2 linked regions of the Neurospora crassa OR74A genome follow. The protein of the gene in region 1 purifies or fractionates together with the protein of each later gene. This does not show direct contact. Links are inferred from orthologs where the notes say so. Each region holds a gene or a part of one and is shown on either strand. Other genes may lie near its edges.

The links. The genes of interacting proteins can lie anywhere in the genome.
Region 2: the proteins of NCU03048 (region 1) and NCU03946 purify together in Schizosaccharomyces pombe (affinity purification with mass spectrometry; 3 studies listed by BioGRID, with this or other methods). This does not show direct contact. The link is inferred for Neurospora crassa OR74A from reciprocal best matches to the Schizosaccharomyces pombe genes red5 and pab2.

Annotation. Positions count from the first base shown.
Region 1 is NC_026501.1:8,296,576-8,302,222, forward strand, and holds NCU03048 (CCCH zinc finger protein), read right to left. Parts: upstream 3,509-5,647; 5' UTR 3,241-3,508; coding exon 2,619-3,240; intron 2,562-2,618; coding exon 2,453-2,561; intron 2,402-2,452; coding exon 2,346-2,401; intron 2,246-2,345; coding exon 1,707-2,245; 3' UTR 1,429-1,706; downstream 1-1,428. Other genes in the region: NCU03049 (flavin-binding monooxygenase), read right to left, coding at 1-29, 113-132, 218-286, 374-516; NCU03047 (hypothetical protein), read left to right, coding at 4,344-4,571, 4,640-4,904, 4,963-5,147, 5,204-5,563.
Region 2 is NC_026506.1:2,201,623-2,207,297, reverse strand, and holds NCU03946 (polyadenylate-binding protein 2), read right to left. Parts: upstream 3,601-5,675; 5' UTR 3,236-3,600; coding exon 3,110-3,235; intron 3,018-3,109; coding exon 2,761-3,017; intron 2,689-2,760; coding exon 2,424-2,688; 3' UTR 1,548-2,423; downstream 1-1,547.

The DNA.
Region 1 (5,647 bases):
TGAATGAGAGGGGATGTCGCAGGCGACGCCTTTTGTTCGTTTTAGCTGTCGGTTAGTTGATCTGCTTTGGTTTCCTACTCCTGTTTGGGGACCACGACCAGGTCGTACATACCTGGATATGTGTTCACCCACCTTTTTGTTTCTTGCAGTATCAGTGTCTTTGCTTGGTGAATGACTGGCGGTCCAAATGAGTTCATGAGGAAAAGCGTGGACTTACCATGTCCCTCCGACGCCTTCGTATTTCTCATAGACCACTAGCTCGACATTTCGTAGCTTCTCTGGTATTCTTCACAGCACACCCATGTTTGTCAGTATTGAACCGGTGGTACAACTATTTCATCAGCCTAAAGCGGGAGGTAGGGAAGCAACTCACCTAATCGCTGCCCCGATACCACTATACCCAGCGCCAATGACAACTACCCTCAACGGTCTAAGATTTTCCACTACCGTGTCTTTAAGTGTAAACTTTTTCTTGAGGTCACTTCCGTCCATGTGCCCGTTCGTAGTTGTAGCCATCTCCACTGATATCTCTTGACGTATACTTGTTGCGACGTATTTGTTTTGTCAAAGGGTGTAGGTATTAGATCGTCAACCTCATAGTCGAAGACAGACCAGCAGCCAAGGTATTTGCCTCCAAACCTCTCTCTTTCTCTGTATATATACATTTCATCAAACATACCATGAGCCGAAACTTACCACTTCCTACCCCTCACAATCAAATACCCCTGGTCGGACTCAGGACGGTTCGGTAACGGCTTTGCTCAACCGAACCGCACGGCGGCCGCAGGCCTTCGATCTGCGTCATGGACTAGTGCTTTGTGCAAGGGTCTTGGTCTGGGTTTCATTACATCCGCGCCATCTGAGTGGTTGTAGTTGTGAATCCGAGAACGTAGTATATATATAAAACTGCTTTAGTTGCCTAAACCCCAGTGCTCCTTAGTCCCTTACTGACTATCCACAGGAGTGCGGGAGAGGAGGTGGGAGTTAGGTATAGAAAGATCATGAGACTAGTAGTATTATGGAATGTGGGACATCTGCAGGTGCTGATCTATATACGTGTACGGCATTAAGGGGTCATAAGAGGAGTGATTACATGGATTTTGGATAGTGTAAGCGGCGAGTTACTTCTAAACAGAAATCCGGATGCCCAAGAGAAGGGCATCCCGTCGCTAAACTCTCGTTAGGCAGCGGTGAATTCATACGAGTATAATTTAGCGGAGAGCATATGGGGTTAAGGTTGCGAATGCGGGGTGATTGATCTATGATACTCCGGGCCCGAGTGAAGAAGGAATGGCAGTGATGGTGTGGCTATTGAGCTCTCGGCAGACTAACTCTCAGCAGCCATTGGATGAACAGGATAACATTTTGCGGTACCTGCTTGGAGCTTGCCGCAGCACATCAAGGTCGACGTTCACCACAGGCCAATCATTGTAATCATGCACCAAGTGCGGTCATGCACTCCTATATCTATAATAAATTGCCTAGTCTTGGCTGTTCTTCAGAGTGACATCTTCTTTTCTCTCTTTTTTTTCCTTTTGCTTTTCTCTTCCTCCTTTTTTTACTTTTATTATCCTCCTATACCCACTGCCAACCCGGAAAGTGTAACGGGTTGCGCTACAGAAAACAGAAACATCAAAGGGTATCAATAAGCCAGCAAGGCTTAGGAAAAACCAAGGACCAAAACAAACGAGCCAGGACTGCACTAATCAAAACTTGATGAAGTCCTTTTGCTCGGCGAAATCCAAGTCAGGATCGTCGTCCTGGCCAACAAACTCGTCAACGTCGTCCGAGTCGATATCGTCGCTATCGACTGAATCGTCGTCGCTGGATAGATCCTCCATCTCCGCGTCGTCGCGGGCATTGACCCTGCGCAAGACGCTTGCCCTCTCCCGGTGCGGCAGTTTACAGCCCTTGGTATTACACACGCCAGTGTTGCTGAAGTCGGGACATTCGAAAACATGGCGGTTGATGCAGCTTGCACCCTTCTCGCAGTAGCCGTAGAGGCCAAATTCTCGGCAGACCGAGGCAGCTGGAGACACCTTTGCGTGAGTGAATTTGCAGTCAGGTTTGGTGCAACTGTCCTTAATGAAGTGCAAGCACGTGGGGGTGCGTTCCGCGGAGAGTTCGTGCGAAAGATCGCAAGAGTCACCGTTGATGCATTCTTCTTGTTGGAGAAAGTCCTTGCAAATGGCAACCTTGGCTGGGTCGTGGATATATCGGCACCGAGGGCCTTTGGTGCATGAACCTGCGGGGGATGTCAGTATAAACATCGTTTGGACTTACCAGACCCAGTCATTTCGACGTGGTGTCGGTTAAGGTTCCGAAATCTGAAAAGTTGGAGTTACCGGTCATGGAGAAATTGCGACAAGGCACGTTGACCTTCTTGAAAGCGCCGGATTGCCTATCGCAAACTAGAATTAGCGGATGATTCAAAAGGGACCGGGCCACATACCGCTGCGCTTTAACAATACCATGGCGGTACAAATTCCCGTTCTTGCTGCGGTAGAACTTGACACCGCCTACGATAGCCATTTTCGGGGTCGGCCCTGAGTTGAGATCGCCTGTGAAAGGGTGAGTATTCGGCACATCCAGCACTTCTGGCCGCGGTTTCGACGCACCGGGAATCTTGACAAGTTTGCTTCCGTTCTTCGTAACGGCAAAACGTATACCCTGCACGGTTAGTTCATATTGGTTTGGTGCCGCTGCCGACCGATCGCCAGCACGGTGTAGATGGTTGATCAACTTGGTTCGTTCCAGATCATCTCTCTGCTGTTGCTTCTGGCGCAGAGTTTGCTCAATGGCCCGAGTGCGAGCCTGCGCTTCCTTATGATAGATGGACGAATTGATGATTTGAAGGTGACGGTCGTTCTTTGCTACCCAGGACGACGGGGACGAGTCGAGCGCGGCGCCTGAACTGGGCGGACCTGCTTTACCTTGTTGAGACGCGCCGTTCAGCACCAAGGTCCTGTGACGGTGGGCAGGCTTGGTGTAATGGGCGCGGGTCGGGTATGGGTAGCCTCCTCTTTGATGACGCCAGCTTCCAGAATAACCTGAGTCTTCAAGACCGTCAATACCAGCACGGTTGCTGTTATGATACTCCACGGACGTACGGTGATGCGGTGGTGCGTGGCTGCTCTGCGGCGGAACAAGGCCTGCTTGTTGATTTTTGTGCTGGTTGATCTGACCGGCCACACGGGCAATCCTCTCCATCAGCTCGTGTTCCTCGGCAGACATTGTCATCTTGTTATCTTTTTGTTCGAATCCAAGAGCCAATACAAGTAGCTGTTGCTGCAATTTCAATATTAAAAGCGTATCGGTATATTGCGGTCACGTTCCACGATCAAGCAGTACCGGTCTTTGTCGGTTATTTAGATTGAAGAAAATATGATAAAGGTCGCGATGTTGCTGGTGCCGTTTGTTCGATGCGATAAGGTAACGTTGTTGTTGGGATGATTGTGGCGGCGCGCAAAACAGAGGATGATGGGTGCAAGAAGGATTTTGGTTCGGATGTTCAAGGACGGCGGCGAACTGCCAGTGATCTTTTGAGGGGGGATGCGCCAGAGGTCAGCCAATCACAAACGGCCAAGGTCGCTATCAGAGAAAGAAGGCCATGGAGTTAAGTAAGTAATGCGTCAACCAGTCAGGGCACGACCAACCAGGCAGGACCTGAACATTGGGAAGCTATGCTGTGCACATATGATAGTATGGACACTACCTACGTCGAGGAAAGCAGTTTATGCAAGATACCAAGCCTCAATGCCCCGTGGTGAGCTCACATTTCCTCCTAATCAGCTACCATCGGCTTGTTTCCAAAAAGACCCAAGGCACTCTTCATACCTTACTTCCACTTCTGTTCCTTTCTTTACGCCCAAAAAAATAACGCCGGATACAAACAAGAACGCTCCCGTAGACAGCCATACTGCAACCTATGAGACTCCAAGTTTGAACTGCCCTCAGAGAAATCCAAAACCACAGGCGCCTTCACCAGACTGAAGTCAACCTTTAACTGAAAGATGTATGCAGGATCCTAGGTACAGCTAAGTACTTGCCACCAGAGACCCCACTAGCCGCTCCGCTTGCGGGAGAGCGGGTCGCGCTAGGATCAGGTAGCGGCTTACATAATAGTATACAGGTACGTATCCAAGGTTCAACGGTCTTTGTCCTGACGTTGACGTTCGCGGCTGCTTTCAACCAGGCAACCTCTCTACAACAACAACGACCACGACAATCACGCCCCAACTTTCCGTCCACGCTACCACAAGACGCCGACAACCAGCGAACGAAAGGCCATTTTACGCACATATTAATATTTGCTAGTCTTGTCACAGCGACCAACTCCAATCATGGCCGATCCAATGAGAATTAAGCCTGACCCGGACGCAGCCTTCGCCGAAGACGAGCTTGACGAATCAGCCGACTTGGGATTCTATGATCCTAATGATTTTCCCTTGAAAAACGCTTATCTGGCTCGCCTTCCGGGGTATGTCTGGCAAGCATGGGCTTCGCTTCCCGATGATGCTGAGATTCAGATTGGCAAAGTTCGTCGAATTGTGCAAGATGGTCAACCGGAGGTCAGTAGCAGCACTCCCTGACGAGCACTACGTTTTCAATAGGTTACTGAGACTGTTTGGGCTTTCAGAAGCTACAAATTCTCCTCGACGATCTTCCACAACACTACGATATTCCCAAGGAATACAACCTCGACATGGTGGATGCCAACGTCAACAACACCTTCATCTTTGGTGAACATGATCACCCAAGTTATGCCGCCAAGAACAAGGAGCGGGCTGAGGCTCTAGCTCAGGGCATACCTGCACACCTTGTGCGCCAGCAGATGAAGCAGTCGGAGCCACCTCAGGAGCGCGGAAAGAAGGGACAGCAGTACACCAAGAAGGCCATCCCGAGTTCGTTACACCCAATCTCAACTGGCCTGCCTTGATAGGTGCTAACTTAAGAGTTCAGAACAAACGGCGATTGCAGCAACAATCAAGCGTGAGGTTGTCGCCACTCCTTTGGAAAATCCCGAGACAGACTATGCGCTTGCTGCCCGAGGCCAGAAGCAGACGGCTCCCAAACATACAGTACAGGTCCTGGATCGTCTGCCACCCAATGGTATCACGGATCCCAAGGGTTGGGAAACATTTCTGGTGCGTGTACTTGAAGACATATCACCACTAGAGCTTTCACTAATAGCAAACAATAGCGCACGACCGAGGCTCCGAGCAAGGCCAAGAAGATGGACAACAAGACAGCTCGCTGGCCAGAGAACCAGCTGCTCGACGAGCTCGCCAAATGCTTCTCCGTCTACATGTACTGGTCCATCAAGGCGCTGCGCTCTCGGATTCCTCAGCCCGAGGCGTTCATTCGAGAGTGCTTGGACAAGATTGCCGTTATTCACCGAACTGGTACTTTTGCAAACCACTGGTCTCTCAAACCGGAATACCAAAGTATGATTTCTGATAAGGACCTGCCGGCACCAACCAACGAAGCGGCTCCCAAACCCGAAATCGCATCTGAGGACGAGGACGACGACGATATCAAGATGGAGGACGTCCTGTTTTAAGATGACAGGACTGAGCGCTGTCATGATGGATGCGATCTTCCTTCTGACTCATTCACTTACTTTGCGTCAGGCGTTTAGAGTAGA
Region 2 (5,675 bases), on another chromosome or scaffold:
CTCGCTCGGATGTCTAGGTTCGTCTGGTAAGGGTACCTTTAGTTAGTAGTGTCGAGGTTGAATGCTGTCGTTGTTTTGTCGCGGTGAAGCTGCTGGAAGTGGCGGGTGGGTGAGCTTGGGTTCGACGGACCAACCCCAAGAAGGTCCAGGTGAAGAGCTCAATGACCTTCACTAAGTTGCAACCGACGGATGAGCCAAAGGATGGGAGGGAAAACGACCGAGAAACCTGGACGTCTTGCGATGTTGCAAAGGTGCAATGGTGCAACGACCCAAGCCAAGAAATTGACAGTCCAAGTTGGATCTAGCATTGGTGAAGAGACAGGGGGAGGTGACAAGACATAATGGTTCAACAGCATTAACGGGAAAGTATGGCTGGCCTAGCATGCTCTGTGCGAGAAGCTTAACTTTTCAGTTAGTAGCTCAGGTATCGCATTAACGAGTGACTACTTTTAGGCCAGGAACTAGTTAGCAGAAGCCTGCAAAGAGCGAGAACTGAAGCGGAAGGTGCGCACAGTGCGGTACTTGACTTCTTCTCTTAAGCAGTTGGTCGGGTCATTCGAGTCCCAGACTCCCAGGGGGCCACATTCACTCCATGCTTGGCACGGCATCCAGATCTCGAGATCAACATCAACAACATCATTGGCACACAAAGAGCAACCTTGGTGTACATGGATCACATAGTCCCGTGTCTTTTCTTAGGAGTTGATGCCCTGTCAGGAAAATATCCCATGGATCACGGCTCAGTCATCGACACAGAGAATTAGAATAGGTAGCTATGCTGGCCTGAATGCCTTTCCATGACTAGGGGTAGGAAAGCACCTCCACCGACCGCCCCAAGCTCCGAGGTCTCTCCAGGAAACGCCAAGATTGTAGTAGAAGCTGTCTGTTCCAAAAACTCTACACAAGAGGTAGCCCAACGATCGGGGATGATGATGATCTTGCGCAGATCTACCAGATATCAAGCCACTACCGAACTTTGAAGAAACCTCCAGAGGCAGTCAATTAGGAAAGTGAACACTTCAAACCTCAACCTTGACAATTCAACGCACAGCACCTCTACATCCCATAACGACGATACACCGCACGGGGTGCAAAAAGGCGTTAGGTCGCTACTTAGCGTATCCCAGTACATGTAGTGTACCCCCGTTGCCGCCGACCGAGACGCTGCTGTTCCAACAATAGCGCATCACCGACATAAACGCCCGTCATTTCCATTTTGATACCCCTCGCGTGCGACGGAACTGCGGGGCGTTACTGCATCTCTGGATTTTCAATTGAGGTTTCTTTTTTTGTTGAGGTGCTTTTGACGATGGGGAGTTCATGGAAGCATAGAGGTACCCATCATATGTACACTAGGTTTGTACACTACACTAGTGGCTGTCATCATTGAACGAAGCGAGACAGCAAATGTGGAGCGCCCTTTGTTCGACACTTCTAAAAAGTGGTAGAGGTAATGCGCAATCCGCGTATAGCTCTTCTACCTAGGTAAGTACTCACTCTACTATACCTCAAAAACCAGCCTCTTTGAATTTCACCACAACCGCCTTCGGTCTTGTCGGAGCAAAGATGTCTTGCGCAGGTGTCTGTTGAGTTGTCATTTGCATGCCCTTTGTATATTGGAGTCGTTCAATTTCGGTGGAAAATGTTGACATGGAGGTTCGCGGCGAAGGCGGCGGCACCTGGCATCTGACGATCCGTGGACTCTTTTTTTTCTCTTTCTTTGTTTTTAGTGTCGGAACAACAATAGCGGTGTGAATAAAGTATCATCGCTACGCTAATTCGAGCACATGTTCGCAGATTGAAGTGTCAAGTGATAGCTTCAATTGTTGCCAAAGCTAGTCATTATGTGGTGATGGCTAGCGGTAACAGACAGCCCATATTAAGCAACTTCGCTGATGATTCCCCTGAGCAGACATAGCCGTAGCAAATGTCGAACCGAAAAGTAGTAGGCGGCGCTTATGCCAAATATCAAATACAAAAATTGAACGTGACATGAATAAACGAAGAAGAAATAAAAGAGCATATGGAATTGGCGTTTTCCTTCGTTTTACCCTCCCACCCATTGACGCCTTGCCGATACGCGCAGCCAAAATGAAAACTTTGAAAATCCCATTGCTCCCATGGTGCAAAAACAGGCCAAGACAACGAACCCTTCCCTTCCTCCACCATTCAAGTGTCCTCCTCTTCCCTGCTGATATATCCTAATCTTACAGCCATCAAAGGGAGAAAAAAAAACGTTCCCATGAATCATGAGCAACACGTACACCGGGTTGCCTGATAGTGATACCAGCTCAGATGAGATCGAGCCCATCTTCACAATTCCAGGTAGTGTCTGCGGATGTCAGAGAGGGGCCGCATACGGCTCTGATTGTCCTGATGGATGCGGGATCATGTGCCGTATGTCAGACCACCACCAAAAAAAACTAGTAAGGAGCGTAGCCTCCTCGGCCGCGTCCACGGTAGCCGCCACGGTAGCCTCCCCTAGGAGGGAAACCGCCCCGTCCACCGAAATAGCCCCCGCGACCGCCTCCGCGGAAGGAACCTCGACCGCCGCGACCGCCGCGCGACATGCCGGGAATATTCGTGCGCTTGGGGACGACCTTGATGTTGCGGCCCTTGAAGACACTCTCGTTGAGAACAAGGGCTTGTGCGACCAGGCTAGGCTCGGTAAACTCGACATACGCGTAACTATTGGATAAATGACACCGTCAGTGTATGTACTTGAGGGTAATCAGCTGGGAAAGAAGAGGAGATGCGTACCCCTTGGGTTGACCGGTAAACTTGTCGAGGAGAATGGTGACACGGTTGATGGACCCGCAGCTCTGGAAGTGCGCCTGGATCTCCTCAGGCGAAGCCGAATAGTCGACGTTTCCGACAAAGATGCTCCGACTGTCGATATCCTCCTTGTTCTCGGTGAGCTCATGATGCTGTTGGTCCAGACTAGCTTGCATCTCGCGGAGTTTGGCAGCCTCCTCTTCCATCTCGGCGACACGGCGCTTCATGGCCGAGATCTCCTCCTGTTCACGATTACTTGGTGTTAGCGCCTGCACTCCGCGTGGAAGCAAACACGGTGGATCGTATCGCTGGGCTTGGGCCGGAGCTGGCGCACCTCATCATCGTTGACATCGTCTCCCGCGTTTTGCTGCTCTTGCTGCTGCTGCTGCTGCTGCTGCTCCTCCTGTTGCTCCTGAGCGGCCTCTTGGGGCTTCTCCCCCTCGTTCACCACAGACGACATGTTGCTGGTATGATTGATTGAAGAGCTGCTTGTCGCGATTGTGTCGCGTGCAATACGGTCAACTCCTGGTTGTGTAAAGGAACTGAAGTTGGCAGGTCAGTGAGAGAAACCTGAATGAGCGGGATCGAAAAGTGGTGGTTTGGGTCAGGCTGGCGCAACGGGCTGTGGGAGCGAGGCCAAGGTGGTCAGGTTGTTGGTCACCGATGCAATGGTGGAGGAAAAGGAATACAAAAGTGGGGAGGGGTCCGCTCCCGTGGACCTTCCAAAAGACGGGACCTGGCTGGAGCAAGGGATGGGGAGGGGACTGGACCAGGAACCTTGAAGCCCAACTCTTTAACTTACTTTTAGTTGAACGGGACAGCACCGCCTTTTTGTAGAGCCTTGAGAAGCTTGTTGCGAGAAAGAATGTGTTTGTTGCGTGGTGGGATGGGGCTGACGATGGCACAATCGGACTGAAAGACGGGGCCCTGGTCGACGCAAAGAAAGTCGTTTGGCCTTCTGCAGCTGTTCCGTCACGTCTTCTCCATGTGCGCTTTGATGGGGAAATTGGAATCGGGGGGTTCTCCAAAACCTTGGGCTGGGTGACGCCGAAGGAGGGTGGCGTGAGTGTAGTGACAAGCACTGCTTGGCTCCTAAGTAGATAGGGGGCACGTGCCACCCTGTTCGTGCCCTGAGCAGCGGGAGATAACGACCTGGGACTTTGGGAGGAACTTGGACTTGCACTGCGCAAGAACTTGTGAAAGGCTTCACGCGAGGTCATTGGGATCCTCAACGAACTTTCTGTATCAGATGCAGGTAGTTTAACCAGTACTTCTTTCATTACTTATCTGATTCGGCATTACCTTAGGACCCAACGCGAGCTACAAGTTTTCATTATCGGCAGGGAGAGTTTCGGAACTGATGATTTAAATGCGTGTTTGGTAGCTATCTGCCAGTCAACATCTTGGTTCAGGCATTACATGTACTGCCCGAGTTCTCTTCCCAGACTAACTGCCGTCAACGTCACTTACCTCAAACAGTCACATTGATGTATCGCCCCTCCATTATTGTATTTGATCCTTCGATTACCATTTTAGCAAGATATGACACTCCGAAGACCATCGTAATAACATACAGAGGATCGAAACTCAATTGTCATTCTCTCTCGGCATCTTCGTACCCACATTGAAGCCCTCGATACCCATCACTACCTTAGCTTCATAAGGTACAATATTCATCAAGCTCTTTACTAACGAAGGACCAGACGTAGAAGTCGGTTAAGTCAATTGTATCTTCATTAAGCGCCGGTCACCTGGTTGAAATGCTGTAAGCCAGGTCAAGGTTGCGTGGACGCTTGTCGAAGCCAGCGTCAGAATATGCCTCGGGCGAGGACATCATCAGGCGCGGGAGGGTTGACCGAATACTCTTCTCCTATTACTCGCATATTGATGGGGTCAACATAGCTTACTGTCCCTACTCCCAAGTGGGTGCGTCTCGTTGTAACAGCGAGCGCAGCAGAAACCGCGATACCAGTTAGGGCAGGCATTGTCTTCACGTTGCCTATCTCCAGCCATTCAGTACCAGAACATCTTCAACTTCGGAACGCCTCTGGCAAGATGGCCGGCGCTATCTTAGATATAGAGCGAACATATCCTAAGACTCAACGGGGTTAACTGGAGCTGGTGCGGCTGGCAAATATGACCAGTCAATTCGAATCCCCCTCGGGGTACATACAATTGGGATTCAGAGGGTTTAAGCAGGTTCTCTCCGTGGTCAAGCCGTCGATGGGCTAGAAAACCAGTGCCCGGTGCGCGGTGCTGGTGGTACAATTCTCAAAGCCGGCAGCTGGTCAGTTCGGACTTTGACTTGGGCGGTTGAGCTTTTTGTCCCTTATCCTCTTCTTCCAAACTTCTCCTCCGGCAGATTGACATGCTGGATCAAGCTCTTCTGTTCCCCGTTGAATGGCGGTTCTTTTTCAATGAAAATCAGATGTTCGGTCCCTTTGCATGCCTGCGCACCGGAAGGCTGATAGCTGTCGCCAAAGCAACTTGACCACATATCTGGAAAGACGATGGCTTACTGTAGTTTCCATACCCTTACGCAACACCTTCTCCGGAATCATGGAGTTCTGCGATTCGTAAGGTAAAGAGATTCTGAATCGTAAACAATCCACCTTGAGATCCTACTGGAAATAGTTTTAACCGAGCGTCTCCTTCAACGTGACTTCCGGCCCCTCGAGAGTGGTATTTCATGTCGTGAAGATGCCGGGCAGGACTAAATCACTAACGGTGTGCGAGTCTCAACGTTGACGGTGGTCCATACTTGCCAGGGCTTGAGCTACCTTCTGACCCCATGCGCCAGGGTGTATGGTTTTCCAAGACAAAAAGGAGTGTTGCTTGAACATGATAGACGTTGGAGCCAGCAGTCTGGCCTATATAGTGTGTCAATCTTGTGAGGTCAT